Canis lupus familiaris: one gene and its partners. The protein of the gene in region 1 binds, or shares a complex with, the protein of each later gene. Links are inferred from orthologs where the notes say so. Each region holds a gene or a part of one and is shown in the gene's direction. Other genes may lie near its edges.

Region 1 (3,648 bases):
ACTATATTCACAATATTGAACCTGTGACTTTCCCACATCAAATTCCTTCATTTCCTGTTAGTAAGAACAATGTCCTTCAATTTCCTCAACCTGGAAGTAAAGATGCAGAGGAAAGAAAAGAATACATTCCTGATTACATGCCACCCATTGTGTCTTCACAAGAAGGTTTGTGACTTCTTTGTTTGTTTTTACTCATACGTCTGTAAGTATTTTAATGCGTTCTTAATCTTAATTTTCCTAACTGAATTGTATAAAACGCTGTGCCAACGTATAAATTCTAGAAATGCAATCAAGATATTCTAATATTATTTTCAAATCAGTCTAACCTTTAAGCCAGCAAACTTACACTGGCGTCACCAGTCAGAGCCATGGCACAGTCAGGGTTGTCTGATGGGGCATCTATTTCCTTTCTAAAGTTTAAGTAGGGGAGAACAGAATGTGATCCCAGAGAGAAGACTTCCCATAGATGTATCATGTGGGAACGGGACATTAAATAAATTAGAAAATCTTTGCAACATAAAGGAAAATCGGGGTCACTCTCTGCCTCTCCTCTGTGTTGTAAATGTGAGTTGGATGATACCAGGAACAGTGAGTGAGTAATATTTACTAGTGTTTTGCAGATTTATCTCCATTTTTTAAATGATGAGTAGAAATGTTTATTGTTTGGCCATGGCAGCATTTTTGATTAAAAAATAATAGCAAATCAGGCTCAGTAGTCAAACATTACAGAGTTCCTTCTCCCTGCATGATTTTACGTGTTGATCCTTTAGGTTCACTAAGGTTCTAAGAGATACATAGTAATTTGTGGTCTCTCATGCAGGTACACAGTATATTTTCTTGTAAAAATGGAAAAGTTCCAATTCATTTCCTTGTACCTTTATATTTGCACCTTTCTACCTTCCACCAGCAATGCCCCACGTTTCCAGTTTCTTGTAATTCATTTCTTGTAATCTCCTGTTCCACTTCAATAGCATCTTGGGATGCTACCCATTTCTTTCATTGACTCGCTTTAGATTTGGAATAGTAGTTTTACAATCTGCGTATCAGTGTTGCCTCATTTGAAAAACCGGGTAAAAACTGGCCCTACGTCGTGGAGACTTACTATGGGTTAGTGTATCCTCAGACACTCTGTGTCTTGGGTGCAGTGGGCCCTCCCACAGAGGGCTGGTGCTGTCATTAACATGCTGAGAATGCAGCACTGTACCTGTGCTTGTTGGTAGCTGTGTAGGTATGGAGGTTCAGATAGGTAGGTACCAGAGTTTTCTGAGTTGAGTGGCTTGGGAAGCTTGTCAGGTTAGCACTTCTCTGCTGAGAACTTAATAATGACAAACTTCTCTGCTTGGGGACTTAATAATGACAAAACTGACAAGAACTGGTATCACCAGTGCTTCACACAAAATGTGCCTTGGGTAAACGTTCTGGAACTGAGTGAAATGCTGTTTGTAGGGGCTTGTTAATGGAAGTTCATTGTTTCTCCTCCTTTCCGGGCCCACTTTTATATTATTAACAGCAGGACTTAGAAATCTACAGATGTATCTCAGTTATCCCAACTTCCTGTAGCAACTACTTAAAATTCGTCTCTTCCTCACCATTGAGATTGTGTATCTGTAGCCTGTGGTACCTTTGAGGAAATCTTCCTCCTTATAGCCCCTGTGTGAGGTCTGTCTCTGTAAACCCCTCATTCCCTAATGTCAGTGTCTTTGACCTTAGAAATGTATATTTCTCACAACTTCTCTAAACATATATTTGTTTGCTTTAAAAACATAACCAATGCATTTCAGTATCAGAATTCTCAAAGGAGGGTTTCTTGGGCAGAAGCCTGCTTAGTAGCTGGATTGCAAAGAATTCATCTTTTCTTATAGACAGGTCATGAATATCAAGCAGGCCTGGAATTTCCTTCTTTGCTGTTGTCACTCAATATGATTTATTAAGCATCCTAGATGTCCTCATGAAAGCAGTACTAAGTGTGCTCTAAGAGTAATCTTTGAGTGGCTCTGAAATTTTTAGTTGAAAGGCCACTTAAAAGTACAAGGAGTACAGAATTTGAAATTGTGCTAAGAAAACATGAAGGGGGTTCCCGGGTGGCTCAGTTGGTTAAGTGTCTGCATTCGGCTGAGGTCGTGATCCCAGGGTACTGGGATCGAGCCCCACATTGGGCACCCTGCTCCACCCCCACTTATGCTTGTGCATGCATTCTCTCTCTCCCTCTCTCTCTCTCTCTCTCTCTCTCTGAAATAAATAAATAAATAAATAAATAAATAAATAAATAAATAAATAAATAAAATCTTTAAAATTTTGGGAGAGAACTTAAGATGTTATATAGGACGACACTAAAGGAGCCACACTAATGTAAGTAACTGGCGTGTCAGCGATTCTCTGGATAATAAGTGATGGTGAGTTTTATATTAGTGAATTAGGTAACGGTTACTAGCCAGGACTTCTGTGCATTATCGGTTGGTGTGTTTTTGAACCAGAACTACTATCTTCTCCATTTAAAACATTTTAGTCCATGTACTCTGTGCTTTTTGAGCTTTCTAATTCTATTTTGTGGTTTACCTGTTTTTTTGTCTCCTTTTCTACCTTCTGCTTAATGAATTGCTTAATTTTTTTTCTGGCCTTTTAAAAAATTTGGACTCTGACATTTGATTAATCTTAACCCGTAATTCATATATAGCTCATCATTGGTCCATCTATAACCTGCATTTATTCACTTAGAGAGTTTATTGAATCATTTGTAATAACATAGTAAGCCCTACCAAACTCACTATTGAAAATTAAGCTCAGGACTTTGATAATAATCAACACTTAACCACTTAGTCCCTCTCATTTTATTTTTATAGCATGAAAATGATACACAAGGAAATTCATGGTTAGCATTTGTAAATACCGCCATGGAAATGTAACTAAGATATCAGTAAAGGGGTATAAAAAACAGTTTAGGGATTTTAATACTGACTTCAGTTTGAAATTAACTACAATAAATTTTTGAGTCTCCTGAATCATTTGAGGCAAAAAGAATCATGGTTTTTTTTTTTTTTGAAGTTTCAGACAATATAAATTATAAACCTCTTAAAAGGAAAATAACATAAACCTGAACACTTCTTTTTTTCAGCTAACAGTTATAGATTCTCTCAGGAGCAGAAATTCTGCTGATTCATGAGGTACGCATATGGTTCCGAAGGGTGCAATAAGTGATAGGCAGTACAATAAGATGTTTATCAAACCTCTTCCTCCTGTTCAGGGAAAAGGATATAAAATAAATACAGTCCCATGGTTACCATTTTTTAATATAGCCTCCCAAGTCAATTTAATAAATCATTTACAATCTGAAATCTTTTTTCCCCCCTGGTCCCATGTTAGAAAATTCCTAGTATTCTGGTTAGTGTTGCAGAGGGTGATATACCTGTGATAGTAATACTTGTTCACAGATTTCTTTTCCTTTTATTTCCTTAAGAGCCACAGACAGGGCCAGGCTTTGGTCATAAAATATCATTAACAAAGTATGATCATGAGACTACCCACTTATTGATCCTTCAGCTTGGTTCGTGTCAGAAGAGCACCAGAATGACTTGTCTGCTTGTAGCACTGGGAACACTGCTGAGGGTGGAGAAACAGGCAGTCGTAGAGAAGACATGGGCCCCATGGCTC
Region 2 (3,497 bases), on another chromosome or scaffold:
ATTAATAAGTCCTACCGACTTCCCCTTTTAAATACATCTTTATCAATCCATAAGTCCTGCCAATTGTATTTCCTAAATGTATCTAGCCCTCATTTACTTCTTTCCATCTCTACTGCTACTACATTAGCTTAGGACTGTATCTTCTCTCCTCTGAATTGTAGGAGGCCCTTGCCAAAGGTGTCCTTACTTCCTGCCCATCCGCAAAATCGTTTTTTCAGAGTAAAATGCAAATCCCATCAGGTCATTTACTTAAGACCCTTCAAAGGTTACTGATGCAATTCTGGCTTTTTGCTATGACTCACAAACCTGATTCTTCCCTTGCCATTTGTTCCTGAGTACCAAATTGTTTATCTTCTCTTGTTCCCCCTCCCGGCTCTGCACACACTTTCACTTTTCCTCAAGGTAGTCTATGCCCTTAACATGTCCCTCGACTCCCTTTACCTGGTTCATTTCCAGTTCTCTTTAAAAACTCAGAAGTCATATCCTCCTGTGAACCTTTTGACTCCCTGAAGGTAGCTCATTTTTGTGTAGCAGAAAAATTCTGGGTTTTTAAAAACAGACCTATTTGATACTTGGTTCTGACGTAGACTAGGACAGAGCCTTGGACAGGTACATCTCCCCGAGTCTTTTCCCTCCTCTGTTAAGGGGGCATATCAATACCTGCGTCGCACAGTAATCAGGGAATAATTAAGTGGAATAAAGTTGATGAGTGCCTGACACAAAGAAGTAGGCGGCAGATGTTAGTCCCCTTCCTCCTTTGCACTGCATACTGTGTCTACCTCTAGTATTGTAACTCCAATGTAGGACTGAAAATGCCAGCTAACCTGTTTGCCTCCCCGACTGTCAGCGCCGAGAGGACGAGAGTCTCGTCCTGCTTAACTTTGTACTCCCAGGCCCTCGCTCAGGATGGGCAAATAGGAATTAAATAAATGTGTGTTGCGTTGAACACCCCCCCCCCACACACTCGCTGTGATGCTGCGTATGTTGTTTATTCAGGCTGAAATACCTCCTTCCCCAACTATGGCAACACTGCACATTCCTACTGTCCTCCATTCCCAGGGCAGTCGCGGGGGGCGGGGGGGGGGGGAGACTTACAACCCTTAAAAGGCTGAGTAAGGGAACTGGAAAGGATACAGACTGGCAGGCAACCCGTGGCCGAGGGGGGGGGGTCCCTAAGCAAGGTCTTTAAGTGCCAGGTTGCAGGAGGGGCAGGAGGGGCCCCGGACCCGCAGAAGAGCGTCCTAGACGTCGACGGTTCCCAGCCCCGCGGCAGGGCCTAGGACTTCGCCCGGGGGGTGGGGGGGGTGGGGGGGGGTGGGGGCGGGGGGAGGGCGGGGGGCGTGGGGGGAGGGCGGGGGGAGGCAGCCCGGCGGCGGCGGCGGCATCTCACTGGCTAGCCGACATCCAGGAGGCGGGAGACCCGACACAGACGACAAACATGGCGTGGGCGGGGCGAAGCGCGGGGCGTGTGACGTCACCCGGCGTGTGCGTAACGTGAGCGGAAGCGGAAGCGGCTCTGTTCGCCGCCTCTCCCACCGGCCCGATGAGCTGCAGCGGCTCCGGCGCGGACCCCGAGGCGGCGCCGGGTTCCGCCGCCTCGGCCCCGGGCCCGGCGCCCACGGTCTCGGCCCCCGCAGCGCTGCCCGCCGGCACCGCTGCGGAGAACAAGGCCAGCCCCGCGGGGACAGCGGGGGGACCCGGGGCTGGAGCTGCGGCAGGGGGCACGGGACCCGTGGCGGCGCGGGCCGGGGAGCCGGCCGAGCGGCGCGGGGCGGGTGAGGGCCGGGCCGGGTGAGGGCGAGGGCAGCGCCGGGGGCTGGGCCCGGCGGCGGGTGAGGGCGGGGGGTTTGAGGCCGACCTAAGCGGGGCTGCGCATCTTCCACCTCCATGTCTATTTGCTGCTTCTCCTCCAGCTCCCGTGTCGGCGGGCGGCGCGGCGCCCCCGGAGGGGGCCATGTCTAACGGGGTTTACGTGCTGCCGAGCGCCGCCAACGGAGACGTGAAGCCGGTGGTGTCCAGCACGCCTCTGGTGGACTTCCTGATGCAGCTGGAGGACTATACGCCTACGGTGGGCTTCCTGCCTGAACAGGCTATTGGGGCGCTGTCAGGCCAAGCTTCCGCTACACCACCTGGATTTCCAGCTTTCTTTCGTACTTGCTCCCCTACTAGCTCTTTGATTTATCCCCTCTGCCCACCCAAACCGTGGGCTTCCTGAAAGCCGGGCCTGTCCTCCATTTCCCTCATCCTCTCAGCCCAGCAGTGCACAGGGCACACACTGACAGTCCTCTCGTTGATCTCTCAGATCCCAGATGCAGTGACTGGTTACTACCTGAACCGTGCTGGCTTTGAGGCCTCGGACCCACGCATGTGAGTACAGCTTGGGTAGGTTACAGCCTTGGGTGCTTGTGTGGAGTTTCTGGTCTCCTCTCCTTCTCACCCCAGTTTTTTCTCTCTAGAATTCGGCTCATCTCCCTAGCTGCCCAGAAATTCATCTCAGATATTGCCAACGATGCCCTACAGCACTGCAAAATGAAGGGCACAGCTTCTGGCAGCTCCCGAAGCAAGAGCAAGGTGTGAGGGGAGGCTCATTGAATCAGTAATTATCTCCCACAGCATCGGAGGCTTAATTTGTCCTGAAACCCCTTTGGGGAAACTAAGCCCTAGGGGAGGTGAAAGACCTACTCAGGGTCACCCACCTGGGATTGAAATCCGGAATTCCCCTGCTCAGCTGGTGCTCTTCCCTCTTCCCTCAGGACCGCAAGTACACTCTAACCATGGAGGACTTGACCCCTGCCCTCAGCGAATATGGCATCAATGTGAAGAAGCCGCACTACTTCACCTGAGCCACCCAACCTAAATGTACTTGTCTGTCCCCCTGTCCCCACACCAGCCTGTTTTCATAATAAACTTTATTGTGACAGGCAGGGCTGGTCCCTCCCATGCTGGGAGATACCGTGTGGCAAGTGACAAAGCTCTGAGCCTAGCCCCTTTGGGGGCTGCAGTGGTAGGGATGGGGGCAGGGGATGGGCCCCATGGCTGGGGTAGTACCATGACTGGAGGCAGGGGAGGCAACCAGAGGCCTGCTGCTTTGGGGAGACACACTCCCCTAACCGTGTCCTGACACCTCTGGAGTTTAGGCAAGGGCTTTCCAGCTCTACTTGTCCTGCATCTTCTCCAGGATAGGCACAATCATGTCAAACTTGGGCCGCTTAGCAGGGTCTTCATTCATGCAGATCTTCATGAGCTTACACACATGGGGGGAAATGCCTGGTGGGATAGTAGGCCGAAGGCCTTCCAGTGCCACCTGCAGATACAGGAAAAAAACAAAATGGGTCTCAGAACTTCTAATATCCTGTGAGGAGAGGCCTCTAGTCCTCAGGAAAGGATTACTGTATATTTGAACAAATATGGGAAGAGCCCAGCCCTGCTATAGTTGTTGTCACCACCACTACCATTCCTTCAACATAAGTGCATACAGTTGTTCTCTCACCTTCATT
Region 3 (4,232 bases), on another chromosome or scaffold:
CGGACTTGCCTCTGGGGAGGGGGGCGTCGCCACCGCCTCGAGCCGAGCCGAGGGGCGTGCGCTCCTCCTCCGGGCGCCCCAACACAAACAGTCTCCACCCCCGCAGGCGCCGCGTGTTTACAAAGTCCGCGCCGCGCCGCGGATCCCGAGTTTAAAGCTGGGCAGGAAGTGGGGAAGAGGGGGCGGGGGAGACAAAGGGGCTGGGTGCTCGGCGCCGCTAGTGTGGGCCCCGACTCCTCCCCCGGCCGCCCGCGGTTGGCCCCGCAGACCCCGGCCCACGTGCCCGGGCGAGGGGGCGGGGCACGCCCCGGGCTCAGGTGCGCCTGCGGGGCCCGGGCCGCGCGGGTTCCCAGAGTCTGGCCCGCGGGGCGCTCGCCAGGCGATCGCGCGTCGCGCAGGAAATAAACAACTTCAGGTGCTGGGTCTTGACCTCCGGCTCTGCTTCTGGCACGTGCCCGAGATCCTCTGCGGGTATTAGCTTATTTTCTTCTCTAGCAATCCCACCCCTGTTCCACACACACACAAAGGAAACTGAGGCACAGTGCGGTTAGGTAACGTGCCCGAAGCCTCACAGCCTGCGATGTTAGGATTCAAACCCGGCGTGCGCGCCCTCCCAGGCACCCGCAAACGGAACTGAAGGAGGGGCAGTGGGGGTCCCCGGTCCCGGCAAGGAGAACCCCCGTCCAGGGCGGCTGATGAGCGAGTGAGACGCAGAAAACCACAGGCACCGCGGGGTCGCAACGCCTCGGGACTGAGGCGGGCCCCGGACAGCTTCTTGCCGCCCGCGCACATCGCTGCGGATCGAGGGCGAGAAGGCAGCGGGATGCAGCGGAAGACCTGGGCTAGCGGGTCTAGGCTCGAGGGGCAGGTGGACGTTGGCGGGCTGCGGGGCCGGTGCGCGCAGAGTAAGGTTTCCCAAAATTACTCGCTCAGGATAATCACCTGCAGAGCTTCACAACACAGAGTCCCAGGCCCCGTCCCCAGAGAGGGAGTCCCTGGGACCGAGCGGGACGCAGCCAAAGGTGTTGCTAACAACAGGCAAGTTTGGAGCGCCCCAGGGATGTGCTCTGCGGGAGAAACGATCTCCTCTAGAAACAGGTGCGAAACCCGAGGGCGCATCTTCCTAGCCGATTCCGAGGCACACCGGGGCCCCAAGAACCTACCACTCACTGTAGGTCACGTGAGCCGGGATCCTCAAACACCGCCGCCCCCCCCCCGCCCCCCGCAACCCGCCTGGGCTTAGGAGAGCTCCGAGGGGTGCGCGCCGCCCCGCCCCCTCCCCGCCCCTCCCCGCTCGGCGACTACAAGTCCCATCCTGCCCTGCGCTCGCGCACAGTACGCCAGAGCAAGATGGCCGACACGGCGGCCACTGCCGGGGCCGGTGGCTCCGGAACGGTAAGGGCGGGAGGCGCGGGGCGGAAGCCGAGAGAGCCTGGGCATTCTGCAACTTCCCCCTAGTGTGGGCAACAAGCTCGCAGCCAGGAATCCAGCCCCACCATGAGCTCCGGGTGGAGGAGCGTCTTTCAGGCCGTAAATGCCCCCCTCCTCGGGACTTGGCTGCGGCCTCCTGAGTTGGCGGACCGGTGTACTGATTGGCTCCTCCGCTGTTGGGGGTTGGGAACCCGGAACACCTCCTGATTGGCTCGGGGAGACCGGCTTCGCCTTCTTATTGGCCAGCCTGAGTTAGGAGGGATTCCCGTTTCAGAATAATTTAGCTTTCCTACTTTTCTGAGCGGTTGCCCTTTGCCTTCCTATGCCCAGCATCGTGTGGTGCTGTTTTAATTTTTCTTTGTAGTGACAGAGTGTGGAGATGCGAGGAACAAGAGAAAGGCCTTTTTTTTTTTAATTTTTTCTGGGAAATGGATGTGAATTCAATCCTATCATGCATGTTTTTTCAGCTATATATTTTGATAATCTGCTAAAAAAGTAAGAAAACTTATTAGAATCTTAAGTTTTAGGTAGCTCCTTAGGATTTAGAACCCCTTGGGTACTCGATGATTACTCAGTTGGCCAGGATTTATAAATCTTAACACCAGGGGCTACCGTATTTTATTAAGCACTGATAAATACATATTTAGCGAAAGAACTTTTGCTTGCCATTGACGATATGTGAACTGTTGGATTGCATTCTTGTCCTGTGGGTGAATTAATTTTTTTTAATGGGGTGCTGATTCGCAGAGATCAGGAAGTAAACAATCCACTAACCCTGCTGATAACTACCATCTGGCCCGGAGGCGAACCCTTCAAGTGGTCGTGAGCTCCTTGTTGACAGAGGCAGGGTTCGAGAGTGCTGAAAAAGCATCCGTGGAAACATTGACAGAGATGCTGCAGAGCTGTAAGTACCAGGAAACAATAGCTCCTTTTCGAGTCAACCAAACATCTGTGCTGTGTCTTGCACTCTGATAGTGTTAAAGATAGGAAAAAGAACAGCATAGTAAAGTGACTTTCAGGCTTTAGAATCAGATGGACGTGGGTGTAAGTCATCGCTCTGCCACTTAATAGCTTGAACAAGTTGCTAAACCTCCTGAACCTCAATTTCCTTATTTGTGAAGTAGGACAATAATTTGTATCTCCTGGAGTTGTGAGGATAAGTGAGGTGCATGTGTAAGACACTTGATATTAGGAACCTGGTAACCTCTTGATGGTTTATAAGTGCTGTTGTTGCTGCTTGTTCTCTATATTCCAGGAAGTTATAGTTTTGTTGCAGAGTCATGATCAAGTCCCATGAATAGATGCTATATATTGGATAATCAAATGCTATAGTATGTGATACAAAGAGGGAGAGTAAATAAGTTTTATAGAACGGAAAAAAAAATGCTTAAGAGGAAACACATTGAGTTGGAGAAGCCTAGAATGGTCTCACACAGGCTTTTCTGCATATACAGTGTATTTCCCTGCTTGGGTTTTATTAGTGGTGGTGGCAGTGGCAGCATGGCAGGGTGGTGGAAAGTAGAATGGGATGAGAGATGGGCTTACTTAACTTGTCTTTTGAGGGATCAACACAAATCAAAGTGAGAGAAAGCTTTAGGCAGGGGGGAGATTAACTGCAATGCAGGCCAAATAAAGAATTGACTGACTCAGTGGGGACCTCTGGAGCACCTGTACTTCAGAGTACACCACATCAGGCTGAAAGGGCCTTGCATTTGTACTCAGTTCTTGATCGGACACTCGATGTGGGCTGCCCCAGGAAGGACGTGGTCTGAGGTGAGGTGGCTCTCTGCAGCTGGTGTTTGGAACTTTTATTTTTTTATTTTTTATTATTATTATTTTTTGTTTGGAACTTTTAAATACCAAATGTTTTCCTAAAGCAATGATCTCAAATGTTTTGATCTTAGAACCTATTTAGACTCTTTTTTTTTTTTTTTTTAGACTCTTAAATATTGAGGATCCTGAGGAGTTTTGTCTACATGGGCTTTATATAGAGCGATTTTTGCCACATTAGAAAATAAAATTGAAAAAAAAAAAAAAAGAAAGAAAGAAAAGAAAATTGAGGACAGCCCGTGTGGCTCAGCAGTTTAGTGCCGCCTTCAGCCCAGGGCCTGATCCTGGGGACCTAGGATCGAGTCCCACATTGGGCTCCCTGCATGGAGCTTGCTTCTCCCTCTGCCTATGTCTCTGCCTCTCTCTCTGTGTGTGTGTCTCTCATGAATAAATAAATAAAATCTTTAAAAAAAAGAAAAAGAAAATTGAAAAAAATTAAATATAAACATATATGAGTCCACATTCTATTATCCCTCAGAGCCATGATATCATCATAGCCCATGTAACCTCTGGAAAACTACATGAGACAATGAGTTAAAAAGTCAAAGAATGTCTTCACTTAATTATAAACATAGTTTTGGTCTGTGGACTCTGGAAAGGATCTCAGGGCTGCCTGAGGACTCCCAGGCCCCACTTTGAGAACTTTTGTCCTCAAAGAACGGACTAATAGTTCCCAACAGAATTCAGTTTTTGAAAAATTCTTGGAATTCAGAGTTTAAAGATCCTCATGATTAAGGCAATTATTTCTGATACCACTGGACAAAAGGCCTTTTTTCTCTCAGAAGAAATAGTTGCCACCAAGCGGGATGGAGCTGAGATAGTTGTGTTGGAAAGCTGTGAATATTGAAACTAAAAGGCTTGAAAATGGCATAAAAGTCTGCCACTCCAAGGCACCTAAGTGGTTCAGAGGTTGAGCATCAACTTTTGGCTCAGGTCGTGATCCCAGGATCCTGGGATCAAGTCCCACATCG

The links.
Region 2: TAF3 (region 1) and TAF10 share a complex: the UniProt entries of both Homo sapiens proteins name them as parts of the TFIID basal transcription factor complex. The link is inferred for Canis lupus familiaris from reciprocal best matches to the Homo sapiens genes TAF3 and TAF10.
Region 3: TAF3 (region 1) and TAF8 share a complex: the UniProt entries of both Homo sapiens proteins name them as parts of the TFIID basal transcription factor complex. The link is inferred for Canis lupus familiaris from reciprocal best matches to the Homo sapiens genes TAF3 and TAF8.

Annotation. Positions count from the first base shown.
Region 1 is NC_049223.1:27,335,801-27,339,448, reverse strand, and holds part of TAF3 (transcription initiation factor TFIID subunit 3), read left to right. Parts: coding exon 1-165; intron 166-3,648. UniProt on the Homo sapiens protein: The TFIID basal transcription factor complex plays a major role in the initiation of RNA polymerase II (Pol II)-dependent transcription.
Region 2 is NC_049242.1:30,425,289-30,428,785, reverse strand, and holds TAF10 (transcription initiation factor TFIID subunit 10), read left to right. Parts: upstream 1-1,520; 5' UTR 1,521-1,543; coding exon 1,544-1,775; intron 1,776-1,913; coding exon 1,914-2,068; intron 2,069-2,302; coding exon 2,303-2,367; intron 2,368-2,456; coding exon 2,457-2,571; intron 2,572-2,753; coding exon 2,754-2,843; 3' UTR 2,844-2,948; downstream 2,949-3,497. Other genes in the region: ILK (integrin-linked protein kinase), read right to left, coding at 3,155-3,304, 3,491-3,497. UniProt on the Homo sapiens protein: The TFIID basal transcription factor complex plays a major role in the initiation of RNA polymerase II (Pol II)-dependent transcription.
Region 3 is NC_049233.1:10,876,703-10,880,934, forward strand, and holds the start of TAF8 (transcription initiation factor TFIID subunit 8), read left to right. Parts: upstream 1-1,333; 5' UTR 1,334-1,350; coding exon 1,351-1,395; intron 1,396-1,702; exon of another isoform or gene 1,703-1,926; intron 1,927-2,178; coding exon 2,179-2,335; intron 2,336-4,232. UniProt on the Homo sapiens protein: The TFIID basal transcription factor complex plays a major role in the initiation of RNA polymerase II (Pol II)-dependent transcription.